Linked DNA regions of Alligator mississippiensis. The protein of the gene in region 3 purifies or fractionates together with the protein of the main gene of each other region. This does not show direct contact. Links are inferred from orthologs where the notes say so. Each region holds a gene or a part of one and is shown on either strand. Other genes may lie near its edges. The genes, in order: TADA2B, TAF6L, USP22 and ATXN7L1.

What was found.
Region 1: the proteins of USP22 (region 3) and TADA2B purify together in Homo sapiens (affinity purification with mass spectrometry; 4 studies listed by BioGRID and IntAct, with this or other methods). This does not show direct contact. The link is inferred for Alligator mississippiensis from reciprocal best matches to the Homo sapiens genes USP22 and TADA2B.
Region 2: the proteins of USP22 (region 3) and TAF6L purify together in Homo sapiens (affinity purification with mass spectrometry; 3 studies listed by BioGRID and IntAct, with this or other methods). This does not show direct contact. The link is inferred for Alligator mississippiensis from reciprocal best matches to the Homo sapiens genes USP22 and TAF6L.
Region 4: the proteins of USP22 (region 3) and ATXN7L1 purify together in Homo sapiens (affinity purification with mass spectrometry; 3 studies listed by BioGRID and IntAct, with this or other methods). This does not show direct contact. The link is inferred for Alligator mississippiensis from reciprocal best matches to the Homo sapiens genes USP22 and ATXN7L1.

What each region holds. Positions count from the first base shown.
Region 1 is NC_081825.1:25,916,947-25,924,857, forward strand, and holds the start of TADA2B (transcriptional adapter 2-beta), read right to left. Parts: upstream 3,005-7,911; 5' UTR 2,987-3,004; coding exon 2,717-2,986; intron 1-2,716. Other genes in the region: CCDC96 (coiled-coil domain-containing protein 96), read left to right, coding at 3,248-3,817, 4,529-5,074. UniProt on the Homo sapiens protein: Coactivates PAX5-dependent transcription together with either SMARCA4 or GCN5L2.
Region 2 is NC_081838.1:3,250,854-3,257,758, reverse strand, and holds the start of TAF6L (TAF6-like RNA polymerase II p300/CBP-associated factor-associated factor 65 kDa subunit 6L), read right to left. Parts: upstream 3,001-6,905; 5' UTR 2,858-3,000; coding exon 2,705-2,857; intron 2,114-2,704; coding exon 2,027-2,113; intron 1,903-2,026; coding exon 1,752-1,902; intron 1,476-1,751; coding exon 1,425-1,475; intron 1-1,424. Other genes in the region: TUT1 (speckle targeted PIP5K1A-regulated poly(A) polymerase), read right to left, coding at 3,499-4,706, 4,790-4,882, 6,350-6,472, 6,604-6,713, 6,851-6,905. UniProt on the Homo sapiens protein: Functions as a component of the PCAF complex. The PCAF complex is capable of efficiently acetylating histones in a nucleosomal context. The PCAF complex could be considered as the human version of the yeast SAGA complex.
Region 3 is NC_081836.1:54,032,419-54,039,577, reverse strand, and holds the start of USP22 (ubiquitin carboxyl-terminal hydrolase 22), read right to left. Parts: upstream 3,020-7,159; 5' UTR 2,694-3,019; coding exon 2,568-2,693; intron 2,267-2,567; exon of another isoform or gene 2,247-2,266; intron 1-2,246. UniProt on the Homo sapiens protein: Deubiquitinase that plays a role in several cellular processes including transcriptional regulation, cell cycle progression or innate immunity.
Region 4 is NC_081827.1:26,743,540-26,750,596, forward strand, and holds the start of ATXN7L1 (ataxin-7-like protein 1), read right to left. Parts: upstream 3,007-7,057; 5' UTR 2,872-3,006; coding exon 2,757-2,871; intron 2,492-2,756; coding exon 2,423-2,491; intron 1-2,422.

The DNA.
Region 1 (7,911 bases), on a different chromosome or scaffold from region 3:
TTCAGTTTTCTCCTCTTCTATACATTAGAAGACAAGGCTAGACAAAACATATCCAGACTGTGAGAAACTTGAACCCTGATCAGATTTTACTGCTGTTGTAACTGTTGCTTAAAGAAATCACAAAACTATTGGCTGACAAAAGCCTTCCAAGAACAAACAAATGAACAACGATAAAACTTCCATTACTAGGTATCTAAATTAAATGGAACAGCTTTGGATGCCACAGTGCTGTGCTTGTATCTTAAATAAATCAGCTAACACTGCATGGCATGTAGCTAGATCAGACTGTGTATAAAAGGATGTTGCTCTGGCACTGCACAGTCTTCCAGAAATGTCCCTCGCTCCCGCAACCCTGATCAACAATGAAACAGTTAACATCAACTTTGCAAGTGCCAACATCTTGAGTTAACATTTCCTGCACAGGAGCTGCTACTTTGTTTTTTAAAGACTCAGAAAGACAACAGGACATCCCATTCACTTAGTTTTCCTTCATCTGACATCATGTTCAGAAATACACAAAACCCTGTAGCAACCTTGTTTGCTGAGCTCCAAATAACTATTCTTAAACACTGGCATTTTAAGAACTGACTTGAACATAAAACTGCACAACAAAAAAGTCATCCACAGGTTGTATTATGTTAAATACGGTCTAAGCAGGGACTACAGATTCTTATCCCATTACCTGGATTATCTTTAAATCCTACGGCTTTGCTGTTCCTGCCATCTCCTTCACCTCTCTCAGTACTGCCCACTCTCCCTTCTTCTCCTCTGTCTTTAAATCGCATGTAAAGCAGGAGGACCATGGTGGCTAATGCCCTGCTGTTGCAAAGGTTGTTAATACAGGCTCAAGAGATCAAAGAAGACTGCCACAATCCCTGCTACAGAAGAAGGCAAACCTTCCAGTCCATACCAATCTGAACTTCAGGTAAAATTTTTTCCTGACCCCAAATGTGGTGATCAGCCTGACGCTGAGTGGAGAGGCAAGACCCTCTAACTGGGAACATCTGGGTTTAAGTCTCAGCAAGAGCACTGGTACAACCTCAATCACAATCTGCAACCTTGGCTTCAGCATAGCTTGCTATGTCCCTTCGCAGTGTCCAACAGAGACAGCTGTTGCTCGTGAAAACTTATGCAACCCTGATTTGGTTACCCTAGGCACACCTACCCTGCTTCTGCCCGACTTCAGGATAACATACCTGATTACCACTCACCTGAACGAGCTAGAAACCAAGTGCTCCCCCACCTCTACCTCAGCATAAAGATCTTAGGCTCTGCCAAAGCTCAGTCTCCTGAGCCAAGGTGGACACATAGTACTTCACTTGGACATCACACCAACATCTGCTGCCCACCACAGCCAGAAAGCAGCTGCACACATGAGCTGCACAGTGACATGAGCCTAGCAGCTGTCAAGAAAACAGATGCAAGCGAAGCAGAAGCATGGACAGCACGGGCAGGCCGGAGGCATCAGAAAGAAGCATCCGACTTTTGGAAGCTGGGGCAAAGTCAGTACCTGACGACAAAGGCTCTGGTGCTGGAAATGACCAAGCTTCCTGTAAGCCCTTGGGGTGCAAGATGCTGCGGTGGGGCAGGGCAGGAAGGAGGCAGCAGCATGGGACAACAGGGTCTGCAGCACCATGGTGTCAAGGACTGGGGATTTTACCAAGAGGTTAAACAATAGATTGGTAGATGGTTTGGGTAGAATCAATCACAATCATGGAGTCGTAGGGGTGGAAGGGACCTCCAGAGCTCATCTAGTGCAACCCTCTGCCTGAGGCACAATCATCCCTATCCAAACTATCCCGTACAATCTGTAATCTAAGCCAGGGGTCAGCAACGTTTTTGGGCAGCGTGCCACAAACCCTTTCTGAACTCGTAAGATGCTGGCGTGCCGGGAGCAGACGGCAGGAGAGCTGCGAGGGGTCTGATCCTTCTTACAGCAGCGCAATCCCAGCCCCTCCTCCGCTGTCTGTCCCAAGACGCACACACACTGCTGCTGGCACCGAGCTGGACCACAGCTCTGCAGACCCCAGTGCAGCTGCTTGCGGCCTCCCCATCCCCTGCCGCGAGCAGCCTGGGATCCGCAGTGGATGGCCCAGAGCCCAGCCCGGCTGTGGCAGGCATCTGGGAGACCAAAAGCAGCCGTCTGTGGAGCCCCAAGCCGGGTGGTGCGCGTGCACCTTGAGCTGGACAGTGGGAAAGGGGCTGGGGCTGCCACCAGAAGGATCCGGCCCTCGCAGCTCCCCCACAGCCAACCCCAAGGACTGAGCAAAATGTCTTCGTGTGCCGCACTGGGCACGCACCGGGGTGGGCGACCCCTACTTCAAGTTCTGTGTGATGCGGCCGCTAGCCTGGGCGCGCGTGCCACAAACCTGACACGCGGCGCAGGCACCTACCTTAGAGGCCTTCAAAAGAAGGCTGGGCGCGCGCCTGGCTGGGGTTACGCGAGCCCAGCCGCCCAAGCAGGGGGACCAGACCTGATCCCACCCTACGCGTGTGTGGACCGGTGACAACGGGCCCAGGTCAAGCAGGGGAACCACCGCCCGCTCCCGTGGCCCCGCGTGGAGGGAGACATCCCCCTCAGGGAAAGGGGGCGCCCTGCCGAGCCCGGGGGCGATGCCCTCCTGACCCCCGAGGAAGGGGCCGGCTCGGGCTGGGCGGCCGCTCCCGCTCCCCTCGCGGGCGACGCTGCGGGAGCGGCTGCCGGCCGCGTCCTTACCCAGTTGCCGAAGCCGAACTGCTCGATGGCGTCGAGCAACAGCTGCTCCTCCCGGCTGCTCCAGCCGCCCTCGGCCTCGGCGCCCCACAGCGTGAAGCGGCCGCCGTCCACCAGCTGGTAGCCGTGCCATCGGCGGTGCGGCCCGATCTCGGCGCCGGCCGAGAAGCAGTCCGGGCACAGCTCGATGTCGGCGCACTCGGTGCAGCGGAAGCGCAGGGAGCTCACCTCGGCCAGGCAGTACACGCAGTACTTCTTCCCCAGCTCCGCCATCTTCCCCCGCCCCGCCCCACATTGCGCACGCGCCGCCCCGCCCCCGCCAATGGCCGCGCGCCCCGGGGGTAGGGCCCCGCCGCGGCCGCCCAATGAGCGCCAGGGGGGCCTGCTCCGCCCCCTCCAATCCCGCCGGGGCGGCGGGGCAGGGCGACAGCGCGCGCCCCAATGAGGGCAGCGACGCCGAGCCGGTTTCCCTTCGTTACAACCAATCAGAGCCCTCGTGGGGGGGGGAGAACCGTTGCTCCGCCCGCCGTTACCATGGAGACGGGGGAAGCTGCCGCCGCGTCTCAGGGCGCCATGGAGCAGCCGGAGGAGGCTGACGAGGAGGAGGAGGAGGAGAAGGAGGAGGCCGAGGCCGAGGCGGAGGCCGAGAGCCCCGAAGCGGGCTCGGCGGCGGAGGCGCGGCGGCGGGCGGAGCTGGTAGAGCAGTACCGGGCGCTGCTAGTCGAGCGCGAGCGGCTGCGCCAGGCCACGGCGCGCCAGCAGTTCCGGCTGCGGGAACTGCTGCTGCAGCGCGGGAAGCGGCCGGACGAGCCGCCGCCGCCGCGGACCGAGCCCGACGCCGAGGAGCGCTACGCGCGCTGCCTGGCCGCCCTGCACGACCTGCAGGCCCTCCGCGCGCAGGAAGCCGCCCGGGCCCAGCGCCGCCGGGCCGCCCAGGAGACCGCCTGCGAGGAGGCGCGGGGCCGCGCGCGGGCGGCCGCCGCCGCCTACCGGGCCTGCGTGGCCGAGGCGGCGGCGACGGGCAGGCGGCGGCCGGGCGGGGAGCGGGCCGAGCTGGAGCGCCTGCAGGCCGCCGAGCAGCGCAAGGACGAGGAGATCAGCCAGGTGAGGCAGCACGGGGCTTCGCGTTACCGTATTGTTCTGTCACTAAAGTGCGGGAGTACACCAGGAAATACGGCAGCAAGCGCTCCTGGGCAGGAAGGAAAGTCAGGTTGCTATATCTTCCTGTCAGTAATTGGGATGCGTGAGTATGCAAAGAAATACAGCAGCGAGCGCCCCACCAGCTCCTGCGCAGGAAGGAGTGAAGGTCGCGTTACTATATTGTCCTGTCACTAGTTGTGATGCGCGAGTACACCAGGAAATACGGTATCAAGCGCTCCATGAGCTCCTAGGAAGGTCACATTGCCGTATTTTCCTGCCAGTAGTTAGGGTGATTGAGTATGCCAAGAAATACGGCAGCAAGCAGCCCACCAGCTTCTGAGCAGGAAGGAAGGAAGGCCACGTTACTGTATTGTCCTGTCACTAGTTCGGATGCATGACTACACCAGGAAATACGGTAGCGAGCACTCCATGAGCTCCTGGGCAGGAAGGAGGAAAGGTCACATTACCATATTGTCCTGTCGGTAGTTGGGGTGCGTGAGGATGCCAGGAAATACCGTAGCCAGCGCTCCAGCAGCTCCTAGAAAGGAAGGAAGGTCGCATTACCGTACTTTTCTGTCAGTAGTTAGGGTGCGTGAGGTACTTTTCTGTCAGAGTTGGGGTGCGTGAGGATGCCAGAAAATCCTCACACCTTTCTGCCCACTCCCACCGTTTCAGGTACGCCTGGAGAACATCAAGCTGAAGCACAAGATTGAGCAGCTAGAAGCAAGACTGAAGGCCCAGGAGGAGCTGGCTGAAGGGCTGCACCTCATTGACTTCGAGCAGTTGAAGATCGAGAACCAGACCTACAATGAGAAGGTGGATGAGCGCAACGAGGAGCTGCTGAAGCTCAGGAAGAAAGTCACCACCACAGTGCAGGTCTTGACACAGCTCAAAGAGAAACTGCAGTTCGTGGAAGCCGAGAACCAGGAGAAGAAGGTCGAGTTGCTGGAGATCGAGGCAGTGCTGGCACAGAAGAGAGACGTGCTGACCAAAACTAAGCAGGCCAGGGATCGTTTACGGGCAGACAATCAGAGGCTGCAGCAGAAGTGCGGCCTGCTGGGGAATGAGGTGCTGCTGCAGGACTTTGAGAACAAGGTGGATGCTGCTCAGGTGCTGAATCAGCAGCTGGAGAACCTGAAACAGCACCATGCTGGTCTCACCATTGCCTGCAAGGGATTCAAGAAAAAAATTAAGGAAGCCAAATCCTTTCTATCGCCGTGAAGATACCGGAGGGAGGCAAGATCTTTAGAGACACCAAAACCGGGGGTGGGGGAGACTACAAATAAAAGTACTGGGAAATACCAAATATATATTTTTTTTTGTACAGGCAAAAGAATAAACTAAATATTTTACTGGAAAATAATCTCCTTTCTAAAGCATGTTTACTACTATTTATTGTGCAGGAGACTGCCATGCAGTTCTGCCTATCAAATGGCCCTTGAAGAAACCAAGCACATTTAGCCATTTTTTAATTGAAATATTTCACACTTAACAACATATCTGACATTGTAACCCCTGGCAAAGACCGAATCAACCTAAAGGTCTTCTGGTTCTGCTATTAACACATCTTGTGGCCTCTGCAGTTTCAGTTTCATTTTTGGAAACTCAAGCATACTCACCTGGTCGTTAAGTACATTTTTTTAAAATACTGAATTTTTAAAGCTATTTCTAAAGCTATGAATGTGCATTACACACACTGTTTTTCTTTGCTGTTCCGATTAAGAAATTAAAGGTAAAGAATGATTTGATGCTTAAGGTCACTACAAAACACAACACTAAAAATACAATATTTCATAGTTGATCTTAAAATTTCAAACCCAGTAGTCATGGTGACTCAGCTAAGAAGTTAAATCAGTGGAGAATTTAATTCCAGAAGCTCTGATTCATTAATCATTAGATAATTTCAACTACATATTCAACATACGTGAAAGTCTTCTGAGAAATGATAGACCGGAGGTTGTAACATTCCAATTACAAAATAAAAAACAAAAATACCATCATTACTGTCCCGTTCTAAAAATGTGCACACAAACTTGTCTTGAAATGCATTGGCCAAACTAGTGGCAACGAGACTAGTACATGGTGCTAAGAAGCTTGGAACAGGGGCTTACCCTTGCTTGTTTCTCCAAATGATCTCTATGGTAGATCTTTTATGGGGTTTATTTTTTTGAACCACTTCACTTCAAATATTGGCATCACAACTAAAAATGGATGCAAGAGGGCACAATTCAGTCTGTAGCAAAGAAGCAGGTCAGTTCAGTACTGAGAACTTGAGCCTTATTATTATTAAGCCATCCCACACAGGGTTAGCATTGACAATATGGTCCAGTAAGTCTTGCCTTGCCTCCTCTTAGAATTTAATTTGACCAGATGCCCCGGAAGAGCAGTTAAAAGATCTGTCTTTTAAAGAACAGTTAAAAGATGCAGTAAAACACACTACAAGTCACACTTATTTGTACGTACTGAAGCTCGACTAACTGCTAAACCTGCAGTAGTATGGAGGCAGTTTGAAAAGTAGGGTGTTACTTAAAATACATTTTACTGCAGAGTTAATAACTTTGTACCCATCACTAGTCAGTATAAGAAGAAAATTATCTTAAATCAGAAGTGTCAAAAGCATCTAGCCCTGCAGGCTGGATCAGTGGTGCAGGGCTGGCTACCCCTGCAGACTGGATCAGGCCCACAGGACCTCTCCCTCACCATGCTAGTTCAGGACCTGGTATGAAGAGGCTGGGTACTTGGCTGCTACCATGGGAACAAGCCACAGTATCAGACTTCTTACTGCCATGCTGCTAGGGCTTGGCTCCAGGATCGCAACTCTTGCCTGGGCACTTTGCTGCTGCAGGAACAAGCTGCAGTCTTGGTCTCCTTTCTGCGGCACTGCTGGGGCTCTAGCACTGTTTCTCTCTCCTGGGTTCCTGGCAGCCAAGCCAATGACAGCTGTGCTGCTGGAGCCCTGCAGCTGCAGCCAAATGCCTGGGCAAGAGCCATGGCACCAGAGCCCCAGCATCAGCATGGGAAGAAGCCTGGTGTCATGGGTGCTCGGCTGCCGTGGGAACAAGCCACAGTGCCAGGCTTCTTCTCTCAGTGCTGGAGCCTCAGCAGCATAGCAGCTCATACCCAGGTACTTGGCTGCAGCCATGAGAAGGTCCTCCCTCACCCCCATCAAGGCTGTGAGCCATATGATCTGGCTCTGCAAGCCAGATGTGGCCCAAGTACTCTGTTTGACTACCCTGGCTTAAAAAAAAAAGAGTAGTCTTGTGCAAGTGAAGCACTTGTTTATTTTTGCATTTTGGTAAAAGGTGTAACAATACAAGTAAAAGATTCCTTGAACCAGAATTGCCCCATCTACTTTGTCTCATGTAACTTGTAGATCAACTTGTAGTTTTATCCCTATGCCCTCTTCCATACCACTTGTGAAGAGAAACCACATTTTGTGCGACTCTCCCAATTCTAAACAGAGTAGCAAAGTTACTCCTATTCACTGAACCAGTTTAACTTTGGTCCCAAAGCCTTGCCAGGATGGCTGGATTTTCTTTTCAGTAATCAAGCTGCATTTTTCTTTGAGACTAAAAAGAAATTTTAAAAAGATAAAGTTTCCCATAAGCTGTTTACTTTAATAGACTAAAGATCAAGGGCTAACATTCCTGTTGTTTTCACAACCATGGGAAATGACAAGTGATGGGGACAGCAGGAAAGAGCTTCCTTGGAAAACTCCTCTGTGCTGGCATTTGCTCTTTGCTCTTGAGTTTGTAGATAATTTGGGCATGCATGCGTGCACATGTACACACCCAAAAAACTCCCCCAAATGAGAAATATTTACACTACAGCCTCATGTACCTTTCTAAGTATTTCCTCTTTGTCAATACAGTGACAAAACCATTGCAACTTTGTGGCCTTCTAAAACCCTCCTAAGAGATTAACTGTAAATTATGAGGTGATGCCAGGGGATCTATAAATATAAAACCCTTATCCCTCTTCTGTGAGGAAAAATATAACATGGCACAAGTCAAAAGAGATAAAAATCCTCTTTATTCACAAGCTCTGTGTTAACATGT
Region 2 (6,905 bases), on a different chromosome or scaffold from region 3:
TTGGCAGGATTTTCCTGTTCCTCTCCCAAGTGCAGCCCCCAGCATTGAGGATCCAGGTAGTTCTGCTACAGACTCCGAGCCCCTCGCACCCGTGCTCCAGAGCCACTGATGCCTCTTTCCTCCAAGGACGTGTCCAGTCCCTTGGGGAACGGGGCTGAACTCCCAGCTCCCCCTGACGTCTGATGACAACGAGCCTCGCGCTCAAATTCCAGGCAGGGGGACAAGAACTGCCTGGGCTTGGTTTTAAACTGCCAACCTGCTGATTTCACTGCGACCCCTTGTCCGTGCCTGGTGAGAGAGAGGCCACAAGAAATCCCCGAGGACTTCCTCTCCCACACTGAGTAGGTCGTAAACCCTCATCCTAGCCCCTGGCTCTGTGCTGACCAGGCCCGTCCTCCTTAGTGTCTCCTCCTAAAGAATCATAGTCAACGGGGGTTGAAGGGAGCTCAGGAGGTCACATCCAGTCCAACCCATGCTCCAAGCAGGACCAGCCCCAACTGCAACATCCCAGCCAAGGCTTCATCTACCCAGGTCTTCAAAACCTCCAAGGATGGAGACTGCGCCACCTCTCTGGGAAACCCGTTCCAGTGCTTCACCACCCTCCTAGTGAGAAAGTTTTTCCTAATATCCAACTTAAACCCCCTTGCTGCAGCCTGAGCCCATTACTCCTTGTCCTGTCGTCTGCCCCCGCTGAGACCAGCCCAGCTCCAGCCTCTTTGCAACCGCCCTGCAGGGAGCTGGAGGCTGCTATTCAATCCCCCTCGGTCTTCTCTTCTCCAGACTAAGCCCAATTCCCTCAGCTTCTCTCCACAACCATTTTCATTGCCCTCTGCTGGACTCTCTCCATGTCCACATCCTTTCTGTAGGGGGAGGGGGGACCACAGCTGGACACAGGACTCCAGATGTGGCCTCCCCCGTACAGAATAGAGGGGAAGAATCACTGCCCAGGATCTGCTGGCAGCGCTCCTACCAATGCAGCCCAGGATGCCAGCAGCCTTCTTGGCAACAAGGGCACACTGCTGGCTCATAGCCATCTTCTTGCCCACTGTCACCCCCAGGCCCTTTTCTGCAGAGCTGCTGCCCAGCCCGTCACCCCCAGCCTGTCCCGGTGCATGGGATTGCTCCGTCCTCAGTGCAGGCCTTTGCACTTGTCCTTGTTGAACTTCCTGAGATTTTTGTTGGTTTGATCCTCCAGTGTGTTGAGGCCTCTCTGAAAAGCCCCTCTCTGGAAACCCCTCCAGGCTGCTAATCCCTTGTTGCCCCTCTCTAGACTCTCTCCAGCTCCTCTCTCCCCACGTGGCGGTGCAGGGACCAGAACGGGGCACAGCACTGGAGGGGTGGGCGCGCCATGGATGTTATTCTTGCCAGGGAGCTCCTGGGGCTGGGGGGCACTGTGCAGGGGCGGGGGATGCTGAGGCTCTTACCGCTTCCCTGAGGCTCCAGGTTCCCTTTCCCATCCAGGTAGGAGACGTGCACTGCGAAGGTGAGCGGGGGGCGGGGGGGGGGGGGGGGGTCAGATATTCCTGCTGATCCCCCACAGCCCAGTCAGATGATCCTCAAAAGCCCCAGCCCAGGACTGGATGGGGAGGGGGTAGCCTGGGTGTTCCCCAGAGTCCCCCAGGGCTGGGAGCAGGGGGCAGAGACCCAGGATGAGCCCAGGGGCAGGGGAGACATCTCCAGCCCCAAGCAGCCACAGCCCAGGGACGTCCAGCTATTGCGGGGGGAGGGTCCCGCCGTGGGGGGCCACATACCTCTGACGGCCGCCTCGGCGCAGCCCTTGGGGATGTTGGTGGCCAGGGCCAGCTCCACCAGGTTGACCTCCCGGTCCTCCTGGAAGTACAGCTCCCCCTCCTTGACCGGCCGGAAGGGCAGCGCGTCCTGGGAGCCGTAGCCGCAGATCACCTAGGATGACCCCCCGCCACGGTCAGCCAGGGCAGGGGGAGGCGCGAGCCCCCTTCCCCCCAGGGGCACGAAGGCTGGGGGGGGGGGAGGGGGGCAGCCGATACAGCCCCCCCACGACACTCACCTCTACATTGCTCCAGCGCAGCGCCCGGTTGAAATCCTCTACCGTCAGCTTGCGCCGCTTGGTGTGCTTCATGAACTGGGAGCTGTTCTGGCAGTGGGGGGCAAGGGGGGCGTCACTGGGACATGGCCCCCCCATAAGGGTGGGGGGCAGTCAAATGGGTATGGGGGGACCGGGGCGTGGTGGGGTCGGGGGGCCTGGGGAGAGTGGCGGGTGGTTTCAGGGGCGCACGCAGGCACGGGGGGGGGGGGGGGGGGGGCAGGGTGCGCGGGACCGGGGTTATTGATGGGCACGAGGAGCGCGGGCGGGTGTGAAGTGGTATCGGGGGCACGGGGATCTGGGGAGCCCACAGGGGCACGGGTGGGGGCCACAGGAGAGCGGGGCCGTGGGGCACTGGTAGTCACCGGTGAGCATAAGGAAGCGGGGGTGGCATCGGGGGGCACTCGGGAGGTGGGGGGGATGGGGTGACTGGGGAAACACGGGGGTGTGGGGGGCACAGGGGTGCGGGTGCTGGGAGATGGGGGACGGGGGGTGCAGCAAGGGGCTGCTGTGGGGGTGGGGATGGGGGCAGAAAGAGCCTGGGGGGGGGCGATGGGGGTCACGGAGGAGCCGGGAGCAGCGCGGGGCGGGGTCGCAGGGAGGAAGCGGGGGGCGTGGCCGGGGGCGTGGCTTGCCCCCTACCTGGGCGGCCTCGCGCAGGCGGTAGCAGACGTCCTCGGCCAGCAGCGCGGCCACGTCGTCGGGCAGCTCCGGGCCCAGCCCCGCACTCTCGGCCATGAGCCGCACGGACTCGCGGGGCAGCTCCACGAAGCGGCGCTCGTCGCGCTCCGCCATGGCCGGGACGACGCGCGATAGCGCGCACACACGTGCGCGGCCGCGCGCCAAGGGGGACCGGCCCCGGCCCCGCCCCCCGGGGGCGCGCGCCAGCCAGCGGGGAACCCCCGGCCCTCTGCTGCCTGGGGATGACGTGGGCGGGCCGCTGTCACGTGACGCCGGGCTCTTAAAGGGCCCGCGCCACTCGAAACCCACGTGGTTCTGGAGCTCTTAAAGGGCCAGGACATGGTTTCTGCCACGCCCCGCCTCCCTTCTCACACCTCTGGGGGGCGGGGTGACCCTGGGACCAGGCCGTGGTGCCCTCAGAGCTTCCCGCCCCCGCGCTGAGCTCGACCAAGCGCCAGAGCCGGTCGTGGGGCGCCCAGGGCTCTGCCAACAGCAGCCGCGGAGACGGGCACCGTGCAGCGGTGCGCAGAAGAGGCTGCCGGGCCAAAGCATCAGCCTGAACCGGGCAAACACGTCTGCCATGTCCCCCCACCCCAAACCCAGAGGGGACAGAGAGGGAGATTTCCCCCCAGCTCACAGGAGACAGGACACGGGTTGGGACACAAGAGCGGGACCTTTATTCTCCCCCCAGCTGGAGGCGGCGCGCACACAGCAGGGCAGCGTCCCAGCGTCCTGAGCCCACGCAGCTGAGTCGCTCACTGGGGGTCTGCCTCAGCCCCAGGCTGGACTGGGCGGGGGGGGCCTGGCTCTAGGTCTAGCTCTGTCCTAGGCACTGGCCCTGGCTCCGGGCTGGCCTCCCCCACGCGGCTGAGGTAGCGCTGGAGCATGGTGGGCAGGAAGCTGTGCAGGAAGTGGTAGAAGTCCTGGAAGAGCGTGGCGTGCTGGGGGGCAGGCGTGAAGCGCAGGCTGGCCTGGGCGTCCAGGCGGGCGCAGGCTGTGAACTGCAGCAGCGGCTCCCCGCTTGCCTCCTGCCGGGCAATGGCCGCCGACACCTTCTCCTCCAGCTCCAGGGACCGTGCGGCCTCCTGCTCGGTGCCGGCCTCTGCCAGGGGACTGCTGTGCTGGGGCCGCAGCTGCCGCCGCACCCGGCGCCGGCCCACCCACACCCGGTGCCACAGGGCGCAGCTCCAGCTCACAGCCCCTGCTTCTTCCAGGGCCTCTGCTCGCGGCCTCTTCCGGGCAGGGGAGACGGAGACAGGGCTGGGGATCCCCTCCTCTTCGCTCAGGGGGCGCTTGAGCCCAGCAGCCGGTGGCGTTCCTGGGGCGCTGGGGGCATCCACAAGCTCCCTGGGGGCATCCACAGGCTCCCTGGGGGCTGCCGGCTGCTGGGCTGGGGAGGTTGGGGGCTCCCCCGTCTCCCCCTGCTGAAGGGATGCCCCGGGGGGCTCCAGGAGCTGCTCTGCATGTCCAAGGGGCTGACGCTGGAGCTCCGTGCAACTGCACTTTAAGACGTCTCTGAGCACAAAGGCAACGCCAGCGCACACGTGCCCAAACCAGCTCTGCCGGGAGCTGGGATCTAGGCCCAGCTCACGCCGACGGGCAGCCGGGGCCAAGGGCAAGGCGAGGAGCAGCCCGTCAGAGTCCAGCTCACCAGCCTCAGGCTGGAAGAGGCGCACCAGGCCCCAGGGCCGGCCCTTGGCAGACTTGCGCTGGTACTGCAGGCTGCGGCAGTACTTGGCGGCCCGGGTGCAGCAGACCCGCAGGCGCTGGGCCATGCGCTCCGTGACGTTGGTGGCCACGTTGTGGCTGCGCTCGAAGGGGTCCTGCAGGGTGACAGGGCCCAGGCGCAGCCCCGCACCCGCCACTGCCTCCAGGGGCAGCACCCGGCCCTCGCACAGGGAGATCACGTGACCTGAAAGCTCCTGTTCCCCGAACTCCCGGAAGAAGTCGGCCAGAAGGACGCCTGGGGGGAGCAGGAAAGAAGTGGGGTGAGGACAGGGATCCCTGCATGGCCCCTCTGCCCCCAGCCCCCCCAACGGCACTCACACAGGCTCTCTGTGTTGGTGTTGGGCTCCAGCCGTGCCGCGTCCCGGGGGAAACTGCAGTCCCACCCGTCCACGACCATCCGCTCCTCATCCCCTGGAAGGAAGGAGATGGTTAGCGATCCCCAGCCACGCCACGCAGACCACATGTCAAGGAGGTCTCACCCCCCAGTGCTGTGCTGGGGGTGTCCATACACTCCCTCCTCATGGAGGCTCCGGTCCCAGAAGCAGCTCCGTCCGAGTCACTGCCATCAGCAGGTGGGAGATGGCAGGCGCTGGGGGGGCAGCTCCCTGGAAGCCCTGATGCACTGGTCAGGGATCACTCCCGTGCTAATCGGGCAACCCCAGGAAAAAGCAAGGGTCCATTTCCCCGCTCCCTGAGCCTAGAGATCATCTCAGGGAAATGGGCTACGGGGCACAAGTTATGACTCAGTTTCCCTGTGCCAAGAGGTCATTAGCTCAGAGATATATAGGCCAAGTCACAGGTCATGACTCAGTTTCCCTGTTCCCTGAGCCAAGAGATTGCTGTCGTAGAGAAACGGGCGGGAATGCAGACATCTGAACCTGAATGGGATAAAACTCTTCCACAACAACTCGCCTCGACCACGAGGGCAGACTCTGAGAGCACCGAGTCTTCATCCGCTGGCGGTGAGGCTGCGTGGTCTCTGCTGGATGTAGCTGTTCTGGGTCACGTGGCCCGATTGTTGGTATCCCAGTAAACCAGCATACAATAACTGGCATGCAATAAACCAGAGCACAGCATCCCAATACACCGGTGCATCATTGGGAGGAACTTGCTTTGGTTTCTCTGGATCATATCAAAGCCCCCAGAACCAGCCTAGGGGTAACACCCAGAGGAGAGGCTGTGCCTTGGTGTCTGGGGGCTGCCAGATGCAAGCCGAGCTCCCCCAAAAGCCCTGGTCCTTTTGGGACTTGGATTTTCCACCCCAGGGTTTCTTTCTAGTTCAGGCTCCCAAGCCCAAGATCATGGAGGCCAAGGCTAAAGGGAGGCGGCTGTGGTGCATCCGGCTTTTGTTTTAACTCAAGGTCAGGGCCTGGCGGCCAGTCCCCTCCTGCCCTGGGGCCTTCCTGGAGCAGGTGGGAAGGGCACCAGGCAGGGCTGGGACTGTCCTGCTCCAAGATAAGGACAGGGCTGAATACAACTCCTGGGACCCTGCCAGGCCTGGCACCTCATGGGCTCCTGGCCAACGAAATGGAGCATGAAAGCTGCTGGATTCAGGGTACAGGGATGTCACATGCATGTACATGCACGCACCCTCCACCCCCGGCTCATGCTCTCGCACACAAGCACACACACACACACCCACACATGTGGCAGCTCCAGGCAGCCCGTGTAACTGCAGCTAGTTTTGGGCAGGGCACATGGCTCTCTCGTGGGCACCAGCCAGGCTTCACATGCCAAGCTCAAGGGGACGTTTTTCGCCACAGAGCTGCCCTTTGCTTCTCTTACTGGTGCCCGGCCTCCTGGTGCTCCTGGACCCAAGCAGCCCCTGCCTTCCCATGCACAGACATGCACAGCCCCAGGGCACAGAGCATGCCCTACCTGCCAGCTGCTGGAGACGGGCCACAGTGGGCAGGATGGGTGGGGAGCGCGTCTGCAGGAAGAAGATCACCAGCAGCGTCAGGGCATAGTTGGTGAAGAGTGGGCCGCCTCCATGAGGGTTACCTGAGAGGGCAGACACAACTGTGAGATGGGGGGCTGTGTCCTGCACCCCCAACTCTCCCCCAGACTGGCCCAGCCCAGAGCCCTGGACAAAGCCACAGCCCCCAGCGAGAGGGGGAAGGGGAGATCCTCACCCGCCAGGCCCTGCTGCTTGGCCCAGTAGCGCAGCACGTAGACCAGCGGTCGCACTCGCTCGTCAGCCTCAGTGCAGAGCTGCAGGAACTGCGTGTTGCACAGACCCAGCCTGGGGAGGGTGGGGGTTGGGAAATGTCAGGGGGGGCAGCCCCCACTCCCACCTTTGCCTCTACGGTGGCAGCTGCCTCAACAACCTGCCCCTCCCAGCGCAGCAGTCCCCAGGCCCCCACGGAGAGCCCGCGTTACCGGTTGTTGAGGGAGATGTCGCCGCACAGCCCCGAGTCCTTGTGGCTGAACTTGA
Region 3 (7,159 bases):
CAGGGATCCATAGCTATACTAAGGTTTTTGCCATGGTGCAACTGCATGTTATACCACTGGTTAAAAACCCCCTGTACAAAGGTTCAGAGCTCTACGAATATTTTAGAGGCCTGTAGATAAGGAGCCCACTTGATGTATCAATCAGTTATAACTGATAAAACTGCATGTATTACAGCCTTTGCTTATTTCTGATTAAAAATATAACTGGAAAATACTCAGCTTTAGAAAGCTACATCTTTAGAATCGTAAAAATATATCATATTAGAGAGTGCACCGGATTAAAAGCTGAAGACTACATACAGATGCAAATCTGTAGAGAAAGAGAGAGAAAAAGAAAGAATAGATGGAAACAAACAGCAAGAAGCAAACAGTGTTGAAATGGTCTTTCAAAGCATAATGCAGTAAGCAGTAGAAGTAACCAAGTAAAGCAGCAGAAATGGACAGTTTCTGCCCCCTGCAGTTTCTATTGCTATCTGGATTTTTAAGACTCAGCCCTTGAAAAGACACAGAACATCAATGTCCTAGAAATCTAAAGACCAAATGTGACCGTTCCACTATCACCAGATAGCCAACTGTGCAACACAACGTGTGCAGCTGGGCTCTTTTGACCAAGAATGGCTTTAGTCACTGAATTTTCCTATTACCGTCCAATTGGAGTTTGGAGCAATCTCTATAAGGACAAACAAGTCACATTTCTCGATGTATATTTCTCTCTGCTATATGCTCGCTGCCTGGATACAAGGAAACCGAGATACGTTTTCTAAAGTTGTTATTATTATTTTTACTCTACCTCAACCAACTGACCAGGACTAATAATGAAGTCTCATCCACAGAGAGAGATTTTTAAACATGAGAACTATGCCCCACACATAGCCACGGACTGCAGAACAACACAGAACTGTTTGCTAGTTGTTAGGCCGTAAGAAGACTTTCCGAAAAAATGCTTCTAGTAACATTTAAGGTGTCAAAAATGTACAGCGTGTACCCAGCTGAGAGAGAAAAAAACAAGAATTGGCAAAGAAATGTGACATGGGTGGGTGGGGCACAACCGCGGCTGGGGCCATTCAGCTCCATGTACATAAAGCTATTACCATCGGTCTCCGAATTTGAACAATAAAGCAAAAAGAAAAGATAATTTCATTACAAAAAAGTCCAAGTGGTACATACCCAAGTATTAGAAGAAGGTGAAATGATTATTGGTGACTGAGTATTCAATCAGGTTACGCAATTAAAGTCAGCAAGTCAGATACCAGCCTCACCAGTCAACAGGGCCAAGATTTCACCCTGTATTTCCACATGTTTCACATGGACTAGAATCCAACAACTTCCAGACCGATCTATTGGTACCCATTAAAATGCTGATTTTTTAGCTTCTTAAAGAATCAATGAAATATTGATGCTTTCCTTCAGAAGGCAGAAGAACTGTCCCTTTGAACTCGTCTCCTTTATACAACCAGCCATACAAGGAGCAAAAGAGGAAAAGGAAAGAGAGTCATTAAAAGATGTGGGTGGAAAAAATATGGCACGCTACTGGACGAAGACTTCCAACTGGCATTCAAGCAGTGACGTGCAAAACACTATAGCCTGCAGGAAAAATAAATATTGTACTCCTGGAGTTTATCACAGCTCCTCAAGAATGACACTCATTTTTTTTAAAGTATTCACTAAAAGGTACAAGGATGTGGGGTCAACCTACAGAGGCAGAAAAGCGTGTCGATGCCCCAGGAACGGTAGAAGTTTGGGAACAGACGAGATCACATCATGAGGCAAAACTAATCGTTACCCTCCAGCAACGGCACACGCCAGGTACCAGTTGGGCACGGCCTTCCCGCCCCGCCGGGGGTCGGGCACGGCCTTCCCACCCCGCCTTTGCTTTTGGGGCTTTCACTAGACATAACTAAAGTCCCGCTCCTCCGCCTGCCCCTCTCCACGCAAGCCCCATCCCACGTATTAAGTTGTGTTTCGGCTTCTTTTCTCCCCCGTGGCACGAGAGAAAGCAAGCCCGGGACCGAGCGCTTCAAAGGAGCAGAGATCCCGAATGTGCCCGCAGTCTTATTTTAGGACGGCCAGACTAGGAAGCGAGGGACCGGCTTTAAACCTCCGTTTCCTCGTGCGCTCCCTCGACTGTTTCTTTTCAAAGAAAAATCTGGCAAGTGGAAGACGGCGCATGAGTCAGACGACTTCTTCCCGTTGCCCGGCCCTCGCGCCCCGCCAGGACCGGCTCCCCGCGCCCCCCCGGCCGCTACCTGTGCGACGCTCGCGCTTCCCCCTCGCAGCGGCGCCAGAAACCTGCAAAGTCATTTTGAAGTCAGAAGTGGCGGCGAGGGGAGCGTGGGTCGTCTCGCAGGGGGTGGGGGGAGGAAATAAAGAGATCAATGGATGTTTTTGGAGACCCCCTCCCCTCCCCTCCCCTCCCCCCCTTGCACAATTGGGGCAAGGCTGTGGATGAAGGCGCCGGGAGGGGGAGGGGGGGGTGTCCGCAGAGGGGCAGGATCGGCACCGGCCGCCCCTTCCCCGCACGCACCATCCCCGCCCTGCCCCGCCCCGCCCGGCCCGGCCCGGGGTACCTTGGCTTTCCTGGTCTCGGCCGAGCCGCTCCACACGAAGCACTGGTAGATCGCCCGCAGGTTCTGCTTCCAGTTCTCCACCTTGAAGCCGGTCACATGGCAGCACCCGGCCGCCGGCGGACTCATGTCAGACCCCCCACATCAATCCGGGCCGCCTCAGCCGCCGCCTCAGCGGCCCCCGGGCGGGCGGGCGGGCGCGGCGGCTCCCCCGGCGCCGAACAAAGCGCGGGGCCGGGCCGGGCCGGGCCGGGCCGGGCCGCACAAAGATGGGGCTGGGGAGGCGCCGCCGCCTCTACCTCATGGAGGCCGGCGGGCGCGGGGGGCCTGGCGGCGGGGGGGGAGGGGGCGCCTCTTGTCCTCCGCCCGGCCGCCGCCGCCGCTCCCCCGGCCGGCCGCCGCGCTGCGCCTGTCTCTTTAAATCTCCCCCCCCCCCCTCCGCGGTGTTTAATGGTCCTCGCTGCGAACTCAACCTAGCCCGCCAGGCCCGGAGTGGGACAGACCAACGAGCAGCGCGGGGGGGGGCGGCCGCGCCGCCATTGGGGAAGGGAGGAGCGCGCCCATTGGACGGCGGCTTGTCACTCCGGCGCCGCCGCCGCCCCGCCCCTTCTGGCGACTCATTGGTGGCGCGGGGTGGGGATGGGCAGCGCGGGGCGCCAAACAGCGGGGAGGGGGCGGGAGATGCGGGGCGAGGCGCGCGGTGCTATTGGCGGAGGCGGCTGCCACTCTGGATTGGCTGGGAGGGAGGGGGAGGGCAGGCGGCCCCGCCCACAGCAGCAGGCTAAGGTGTGGGGGCAGAGCTGCTGTCACATCCGCTTGTCCCTGCAGCTTCTCTGTTACCCCAGTGATTTCCTGCCAGGGGGGCGGGGGCTGCTGCTGCCTCCTGCCCCCCTCCCCCAGCCAGGGCCACAGTGCACTGCAGCCCCACCCCACCATTGCAGTGTACTGTGCCCTCCCTGGGAGGGTCCCTCCAGGAGCTCCCACCTAGGGGGCACCCCGCCCCAGCTTGGCATGCAACACGCCTTCCCCCCATGGCTCTCACGCAAGGGTTGGGCTGGAGCTGTGTTGGGTTTTTTCCCATCTGAGCTGCAGGCCTGTCCCTACAGGCCCCTGGGGCCCTGGCAAAGTCAGGTGAAACTCAGGGGTACCAGGCGGCTGACGTCTCATTCTAGGGACCGCTGTGACAACGGGTGCTCGCGGCGTTTCCAACCGTGAAGCACCCCGATACGACCAAATGGGGCATCGTTTTGACCGGTGAATGAGCGCGGGAAAATGAGAAGTCTGAGGAAGGATGCAAATATTTGAGGCTACGCTCTGTTCTTTGGCTGTATTGCACTACGGAGCTAACAGCAATAGGGAAGAGAAACTGGGAGGAAACAGACAGGCTGTTTGCAAAGGTTTCTCAAAAGCGGTAGGAGGCTGCTTCAGATGGCGGGTGCTGCAAAGAACCAGACTTTTCATCTTCCCATAGCAATATGAGAAGTCGTGCTAAGGCTGGGCTATACAGCGCCGAGTTTGTCAGTCTTGTTTAATGTACACTATTAAGAACTTCCTGTTGGAACCCTGGGCAGTGACCTCGGCTGAAAGTGCTGTATCTGTTTTTGTCAATGAGAACCAATTCTATTCTCGGGTCTGTTGCTACAGCTCCTTCAAATCGGAGAGTGGCGACTGTGTTTCCAAGGGCAAAATTATGTCCTATGTTACCTGGAGCTGCTACTCTTTGGTAAAAGAAAGAGAAATGATTGTGTAGAAACTGCTGAACACTTAAGTCTGTTCTGCGTATTTGCAAATTGTTTGCATAGAACCATAACCTTCTATTTTAAAATAATTGTGGGATTGAATTCTAATAAAAAGTTGGATGTAGCCGGCCCCAGTGAATTATATCTTTCGCTGCAGGCCGGCAGCAGGTTGAACTACCCACGCTGCCCTGGCAACACCTGTGATCTGGGGGCGACTTCCTAGGGTTAAAACAACAGCAGGTCAGTCTCCATGGATGGTGTAATTCCTTGTTTCTCTGCTGATATGCCTTATTCTAAACAGTGTTTAAGGACAATGGTTTCTCGAGCCAAACAGAGGTTGCTTATGCACAAGTATCTTCTGAGAAGAGTATCCAGGAGACTAGAGGTTTGCAAGGGTCAGTAATATCAGGCTTGTTTCTGCCCCTTGTGCGCAAAGGGGCTGGGGTTGGCTAGCACACCTGGTTGTATTGCAATGCTCCAGAAGGGTCTGTCTAGGTGGGTAAGAGTGAGGGCAAGTCCCTCCTTTGACCCTTTGTAACGTATGTTGTGTTTGTCTAGCTCTAGGCCAGCACCGTGGGAATGCAAGCTTCGTGCTTCTGTTTAAAGAGGTAACAAGAATTGCTGCTGAGTGTGCTGCTCCCCCATTGCCCTCCCCCTGTGGAGGAGTGTTTGCTTCTGTATTACGCAAACACACTGCTTCCAACCATGGTTGCTTGGGTGCTACACCACTGAAACCACCCACTCCCCCTAAATACATCACAGATGTGATGAGCCATAACTAGTCTTGCAATGAGCTCTGTGTGGGTAGACACCCCTGTAACTGTGAGGCACCCTGTTGATTCCAATAAAAATAGTTCAATGTTAAGATATTTCGCCAAAATACCATATGGCTTGCCATGATATCACAGTCTTTGTGTCCAAGGGGGTCACTTATAAATGTAATGAACAATAAGGAAGAAGCCAGAGTACTGACTAACCCTTCCTGTTTTTTCCCAGGCTGTTCCTCATGCCTGGGAAGAGCTCCCGGTAAACACCTGCAAAGCTTCCACATTGTCCTCCTTCAAACCCAGCACTGCCATGTCACCTACAAAAACCTGAGGGCAATGACCAAATATGCTCTCGATCTTTCCTTGTACTCCTTGATTTGTGTGGATGCACCAGTCATCTCCTGCCTTAAAGTTGGACAGTGAGCCTTTTGGAGCAGGGACTGTCTTTTCATTTGTGTCTTCATTCTTTCATTCTCTTGTTCATTGGTTAGCATAGTGGGGTCCAAATGTGAACTAAAACAAAGCCCTTTCAGATAGGGCGAAGATGCCCCAGGATTAATTCCATGAAAAGAGCCAGTGAGAAAAGACTGCGTGTGCACTCACTAATGACCCATCCTCCTGTTAACAATAATTGCCATAAATTTCAATTGTAACAAAACCACAGCAAGTGTACAGCAGATGTATCTGAAAGAGATATCTCACCTAAGAAATGTCATAAGCTGTTTTTAATAATAATGATCTTAGGATCTACCAAATCCCTAATAAAGACAAAGGAACTGAAAATATAGATCCTGTACATTTACTAATCCAACAACTCTTTTATCTCCTCAAAAGAAAATGCGAGCATGCTATGATGGCACTGAGACATCATCTGTGAAGAAGTAAATCAGTGATAAAGCTAAGTTCTCTTAGATCTTTCTCATCCATCTTCAAAAGAGCCATCAAAGAAAGTTACCAATTAGTTTTAATTCAGAAACCAATCATCAAATCCCTAGCAGTATCTGACAACCTGCCTCCTCCCCATAGCCTTAAAACTAGTTAAACTTCTCCCCTTGTTCTCATCACTGTGAATTAAACCAGCACATTACCTGTGATCATTTGGAAACAAACTACATGTTGTAAACAGCACGCTCACTGGTAGGAGCGTATGTGTCACATTATCTCATCAGTAGCTGTCCCTCTCATCTATCTTCAGATGAAGGCAGCCCAGTGACTGCAATAAAGTTTTTGCTCCTGACAGTCAGTGCTGCAAGAGGAACAAGGAACTGGTAACAAAGCACATTTCTAGAGAAAGGTAGCGAAACTCACTCATGTAAATAAGAGTATCTGCTTTGAGGCTGGAGACGAGCAAGCTCAATCATTTGCCAAATAGTTTGAACATCAGCCATACTTGGCAAGCTCAAAACTTTTGAAACATAGCTAGGCTATTCAGATATCCAGCCACCCATCCCTTAGTCTGCTCTGTCAGCAGCAAACCAAAGCTTAGGGAACTCTCACTGCTCCCGACTGGCCCAGTCTAGCACTGCCAGGCAGGCATCAGCCTTCATGGAAAAAGGGGCACCACCTTGCCCCAAATACCTCCTCTCCCCAAGTCTTTAGAGGGCACCTGGAAACTCACTAGTAGATCCTGCATTCACATGAGGTCTCACTCATATTGATCTTTCCAGCATGGTCTGCAACATCTCAGCTGCAAACTGCTTCATTCATTTTTATACAAAGGTAGCAATGAAACCAAGTTCTGAGTTTCTGCATTCAACTGCCACCGTTTGTTTGTGTGGCACCGTGGTTGGATTAGTCATCTGCTGCAGAAGGTTTACAGCTCTCCAGACATGAAGGCTGGGACAGAGACTCATCCAGTCAGCTACTCCTTACCCCTGTGAGAGCCAGGTGGGAGCAAGCATCCATTAAACAGAAGAGAGAAGGCAAGACCACTCAGGAGGTAGCTCAAGAGGATGGAGGCCAGTGCAAATCTAATCTGTAATCAGTACTGTTTATACTGAGTGGGCTGAATATCTTCCAATTAAAAAAATACTTCAGTATTAATATAATCCATATCTAAGCAGAGCAGTATTTGCCCATTCCTATTCAA
Region 4 (7,057 bases), on a different chromosome or scaffold from region 3:
ACAACTCTTGGTTGTAGCCAAACAGCACTTTCATACCACAGAAGACAAGTATATCCGACATCATATTACGCTCCCAAGTACCATTACAAACATGCATGCAGTACATTCTACATATCTGACTCTTGTTAACAGAAGTACAAAGAATCCTGAAGAACAAGAGCAGCACAAGCCAATTCAAGATTTACAAAAGGAATAAAGTTATAGTGATGGGTAGGGCATTAAAATTCTATTATCTTAATGAATAAGGCACAAGTATTTCAACACATGCTAATGTATTCAAGGTTGAAAATCCTTTCAAAAGATGCCCAAATCAAGTTCCTATCTGGAAGCAGTGAGAAATTTCTAAAGTGTTCTATTTTTAAATGTAACTGGGGTTGATTAGAGACAATAACGGCATTTTACTGTACTACTGTGAAAATGCTATTAATGTGTTATACCTTTCAGCTACTATTTCGGTAACAAAGTTTAAGACTTCCACTTCATACCTGGAAATGTGTTTTACTGGATGGTATATATGTAAAAACAAAACAAAACAAAAAAAACCTACCCTAGTCATCCATAAGACACAACTGCAGATGATGAAAAAGAAAAGATTACAGCTCACAACTATATAGAATTATTCTAAAGAATTAAGCTATTTGCATGTTGCACTGAACAGAGGATGCTTATGACTAGAAGTCAAGTTCTTGAACCATGGATTTGCCATTTGAGCTCTTCCAAGACGGGATATAATCTCAACAGAGTAAACTTTTTACAGAAGATAAGGTTAAAGAGCAAAAGTCTTCTTTATAAAATCAAGAAAGAGTACGTCAAAGTTTTTTGAGCTATAAGCCCCTTGAATTTTTGCCCAACTTTACAAACCTCTATTTAGGTGCCATCAAATATGTTTGGCTAAGGAGTTTATTTTAAAATTACGTTAATAAAAAATGTCACTGAAGTATTTCACACATTCTTGATAGTCTTTTCATTTAATGACTACCAGATTTTTTTCCATTCAAGAACGATCTTGAAAAGAAACATTTTCTTTACCTTTAAGTCGCCCGCATGTATTGACATTAGCATGAATACAGTGACATTGACAACATGGTAAAAGTCTAGTTCACATAATTCCATGATATATATTCTAAAAAACCGTTATTGTAATACTTGAGTATCCAGTATAAAAAATGGGATCTCTCTCAACTTACGTATGTTATCATAAAAGTTTTACAACTACGGGCTTGTCCTTTATGAACCAATTTCACAAAAATATTTTGGTGGCTGTTAGGCTAAAACTTTGTAAAACCTAATTCAAACCAACACAGACCAGCACAGCTTCCTCAATTTGCAGCCACATACAAACATTTCCAAAATGCTGGTTCACGAATTTCATCACACAAGCTTCATCTTAGTAAATAACGTCACAAACAAATCTGTCTTTTTCAGTCCTTACTATCCACCATGTAAGGTGCTTTGCTTACAAACTTATGGTCTCCTGTTAAATATAGCATATTTGCACATGTGAGTAAGCTGGGATTTATCTGTGTTCATACTCATGAAACCAGAAAACGTAATATTTTAAATGACAACCTTACGCCTAAATTTTCCTCACAGGATCGATGTGGCCTGTTTTTCAGTACGAAGAATCGCTCAAATTAGCTGCCATCTTGAATCGGCCACACAACTCCGCGTAATCACGCTCACCACATGACTGCCTGAAACCGAGCGCAACTCGGTCAAAACGTGAGCCAATTTAAATATTACCACACGCCTATTCTGCAGCAAGCAAAGCCTGCTCCTTACTGGTGTCTTTCCAGCGGTGGCTGCTAATGAGGTGAAGGTGTAAAATGTGCAGTGCTGCACGCATGTGCCTCTTCCACACTGAAATGAGGGAAGGGTTGTGCCAAAAAAAATAAAAATAAAAAATAAAAATAAAAGTGGACAAAACCTAGAAAGAAATCCAACATGGCCACTGCTGTATGCAGGGCGACTTTCACCTCAAATCACCTCGTGCCCCGTTCACAGCCTGTACGTGCCCTCGTCACGTTTCTACTTCAGAAGCTGGTGCGGAGCGATGGCATCCTGTTCTTTCTTTTTTTTTTTTTTGCAAAAATATGTTTTTCTATAGATATAAATAAATGTATATGTATACCGCCAACACTGGCAAGTGGCCCCCGCAGTTCACTGGGCAGCTCAAAGCACACCGAAAACCCGCTACACAGTTCGTACCGTGTGCGCACCCACCCCCACTGCCCTCCGCGGAGGGCCTGCCCCTGAAAAAGTCCATGCCAGACCCCAGTCCAGCACGAGCTCTGCCGTTTCTTCCCTGGTGTCCTCTTCTGACCTGGTGTGCGGAAGGCGTCCGGCCCAACAACCCCCGGCTGAGGCTGAGCTGCCAGGGGAGGACTAGCCAGGTGGGGCGAGGCAGGGGCGCTGCACTTACCTTCTTTATTAAGCCTCATCACCTCACGGCTTTTCCCACCCTCTTTTCCAGGCTCCTCTACGTCGACACCTGCAGAGGGGAAGCCAAGTGGAGAGTCAAGAGAGGAGGGGACGCGTCTGGGGAGCCCCGCCACAGCACCAGCACCAGCCCGAGCAGGGCCCCCGCCCCCGTCCGCCAGCAGCATCCCAGTCCCGCCCGGCGCCGCATCCCCGGGTGGGGCGGGGCGGGGCCCCCGGGGGCAGCGCGGGGCAGGGGCCGCGGCCGCCTGGGCCGGGCGTGCGCTGCGCTGCGCTGCGGCGACCCGGCCGGTGGCCGCGCGCGGCGGTGCCCTTACTGTGCGGGGGGGCGGCGCCGTGCGCGTGCGGGGGGGCGGCCTCGCGGACCCAGGCGGTCCAGGGCTGGCCCAGGAACGCCTCGGGGCTGGGCACGGGCCGCTCCAGGGCCGCCATGGCGCCGCTCCGGCTCCTGCCTCCTTGTTGCTTTTCCCCGTTTCCTCCGGCAGCGGCGAGCGGGCGAGCGAGGCACGGGATTCGAGAACGCCGCACGTCATCCTCGGGACGTTCCGCCGCCCACACGGGGGTAGTGTCAGCCCCTGCTCCCTATCAGATCGGGCTCCCCGGCCCCCCGCGCGCATGCGCCGCGCCTGCGCACCGCGCACCGCGAAGCCGCTGCCCTCAGCAGCGCCGGGCGGGCAGCGCTGGTGAGGGGCGGGGCGCACCTGAGGGGGGGGCGGGGCCGGGGCTGCCGCGGGCACCCTCCCGGCCATCGCGTGGGATCCAGGCTCCGGAGTGCCTCGGGGAGGAGTTTGCAGAGCCAGCGTGAGAAGCTGTTGCTGCCCCCAGAGGGCAAACCTGCCTTGGGAGGGGAGGGGGTAGCCTGTGGGTCTGAGGGCATGGGCAGGCCAGCGTCTTTGATGGGATAGCTTTTATTAGACCGACTAAAATAGTTGGGGAAATTGTTCTTTGCAAGCTTTGGGGCACTGGCGCCCTTCATCAGGTGCAGGGAGAGTTGTGGGTGTCATGCGTGCTCTCCTGGGAGCCTGTGAGGGGCACTCTCGGGGGGTTCGGGCGAGCGCCAACCTGACGGTGTCGTTGGCTCCAACTGGGTCAGCACCACTTGGGGAGGGTGGTGGCAGCGGCGCGGGCAGGTTCAGTTCTAGGAGATCTGGCGGCGGTTTGTCCGTGACGGGGTGGACGTTGGAGAAAAGAGCCTTGGCCTCGCCTGCCCTGTCAAATGGCATCCACCACTTCTTTTTTTTCTAGAAGCAGCTGGCATCTAGGAACCTCATCCTTAATATTTTAAAGCCAACTTGAAATCTCTGATTGCATTTAGAGAGTGTTTCCTGCTGCGCTGCGAGGGCTGGCTGATCGGCGTTCCCCGAGACCTGTAACAAGAGCAAAGGGTAAAGACGCTGGAATGTTTTACAGGTCTCCTGTTATGTCTCAAAGAAAAACGAGCTGCCCGCAGGATGACTGAGCGCCACCAACCTGATGCACCTGGGAAACAAGCAAAAGCTATCTGAGGGTGTATCAAGAGAGGTATTTCCTGTAGGTAGAAGGGAAGTGCTAGTGCCGGTGAACAAGGCCCTCATGAAACCTCATTTGGGACACTAGTTCATCTGTGTTCCAAAAAAGATAAATACATACTGGAACAGATAGGGGAGCTTTGATTGCTGCCTAAAACTACCAGGAAGGGAGAAGAATTACCTAAGTGAAAAGACAAGGTTCTTACTAGAACATATCGGTATAAACTGGCCATGAATACATTTTGGTTGGAAATTACAAGATTTGAACTATCAGAGTGAGGTTCTAGACAGTTTCTAGTAGAAGAGTTGTGGCAAAAGAAACAACTAGCTTTTAAGATGATGCTTGGTGAATTTATGAAATGAAATTAATTATTTAACATGGCTGCCTACAACAGCTGGCGTCTAGAATTGAAGACCCAGAAGATCTTTTCCAGTCTTATGTTCCTATGTCATTTCATAAAAAACCAACATGCATGGCCATGGATCAAAATATCCAAGTACATTCAAAGCATACAGGTAGAAATGAGGCAAGAACCAATCTTAACCTCCACAAAGGAAAATAAGCATGTATTTGAAAAGGAAGTACTTCCCTACCAAACCCCTCTTAAATTCAGTTATGGTTTCAACAAATGGGAAAGAAAGTCCTTGGTATGTGTCAAGGCCTTTGTCAATGTGTTCTCACTACAAAAGGATGATGGACTCTCTTAAGAAGATACAGCTTTACATGTAGTAAAGGCTATAAGCGAGATTGGACTATCATACAATAAATTTAAGCTTATGCAAAATAAATGTTAACAGTCAAAGGAGTCAGACAGACAACAGCCAGCTAAACAAGTGACACCAGACAAGCATCACACCATAAAACCTCTACCAGTTATTCAAGGTCTACATCTGAGGACAAGACTCAAAGGAAAGGTTTGAGAACAACTAGTAAATCCTGGTGACTGAACACCCAGTTAAGGTTGCTGGAAAAATATGTATGGCCAAACACCCCATGAGATGATATAGAGTCCTCAGAGCAGCAAAGCAATTCTTAAGCACTTAACCTGAAAAAAAGGAAGATTTCAACTAAAAATAAGGGAGGAACAAAAACAGTTGGATACAAGCTGCCATAAACTAAGAGAAATTTATGAGGGAACTTTCCAACTTCAACACATGGCACTAATCTACATGCTGCTTTTCATGACACACTGCCGAGCTGCAATCCATGGTTTAACAGAAGCAAAAATCAGACCATATGAAGGAAAAATTAGCATGAATTGAAGATGCAATATGTCTGATTACTTCCTGGAAAGAAACAAACCTCAACAATCAAGGAAGGTCAATTTTGAGCAAATCACTTCCATGGCATGCACAAAGGAATTTGTTCCTCCTACAAAATGCATCATTAGAAATACATGTTATTATACTTGAAGGTGTATAAGCTGAATATGAGCCAACAGCGTGCTCGTTGCAAAAAAGCCAACAGTATACTGCGTCATATTAAGAGGAGTGTCACCTGAAAAATCAAGGGAAGTGATTCTTTTGCTCTATTCACCACTGCTAAGGCCTCATTTAGAATATTGTGTCCAATTTTGGGCCCCACACTTCAAGAAAAATGTGGACAGATTGGAAAGAGTTCAACACACAGTAAAAAAAATATGATTAGGGGCCTGGGAAATATGACATATGAAGAAAGGCTGAAAGAACTAGGACTAGTCTGGAGAAGACTGAGTGGGGATTTAATAACAGTCCCCAAATATCAGAAGAGTGATTATAAAGAGGATGGAGATACCCTTTTCTCTGTGGCGGTAGGAGACAGGACTAGGAGCAAACTACAGCAGAGGAAATTTAGGTTGGAGATTAGGAGGAACTTTAGGAAGAACAGGCTGCCCAGATAAGTTGTAGGATCTCCATCCCTGGACATTTTCAAGAGCATGGTAGGAAGACACTTGAATGAGATGGTTTAACCAGGGGTGATCCTACCCTGAGGAGCGGCTGGACTAGATCTGTAACAACATGGACATTAAAAAATATTGAAAACCCCAAGTCAGGAAATGATTTATACCAGATAATACCAAGGAAGATGCTGTACCAAGGAAGATGCTGAAACAAAGTATTGAACACATCCCAAAATTTATTTAGACATTTCTTTAACTTGGAAATTTCCTTATAATCAAATGGAGTAATTATTCCAATATACAAAAGTAGAAATGTCCTCAGCCCAAACACCTGTGGATATCTATGTTAGCAGCAACAGTAAACTATTCTGTAACAGTCTCAACATTGTAATAGTAACATAACTGACCAACATGGTAATACAAAGAAATAAGATTTGACTGAGAAATGAATAATTAAACTGTGACCCTATAGGAATATTTCCTGCTTTACAGATATTTTAAAAGCTTTAACTTCACTTGGCACCCTTGACGGAATATTCATGGCTACAAAATGAGATCAGTAAAACAAATGTATTGCAAAATTAAATCCAGGTATCAATTCATCAGGTATGGAAGAAAGATGGCTTTTATGTAGTTCTGGGCTAGGACTCTGGTGACATAGGTTCAGATTCTGGTTCTGTGAATTCTGTAAAATGATCTGTACGGGTGAATCTTGACTGGAATCAAAGACCGGAGCATAGAATAACCAAAACCAAGTGAAGGCCCATTTCTATGCTCTGGTCTTTGATTCTAGTTAAGATTCACCTGTATGCATTATTTTACAGAATTTATAGACATAGAAATTAAACATAGTTTGAACTTTCTTACTGCACTTTTATAAAATACAATGTAGACTATCTGTAAAAGTATTAAAAGAAACAGCTATATCATGACCTTTAATGTCTTAAAGGAACTATGTAAAGCCAATCCTTTGTAACAAAGCCATTAAAGTTTAGCAGTTTAGAAGGAGATTCATTAGTATTTCTAAGAATGTTACTTTTGAATGGATTTACTACAACAGCAACTCCTTCCAATATGGATAGAAGTGATTCTTTAGAGGCCAGATTGGTTATCTGCTACAGAAGAGGCCCAGGTGCCCACCTGGTGGGAATGGAAATCTAAATATGAGTCATGGGACTTTGTAGTTCAGTAACTGAACTCATGCAGAGATAGCACTGGCAAACTAGCTAG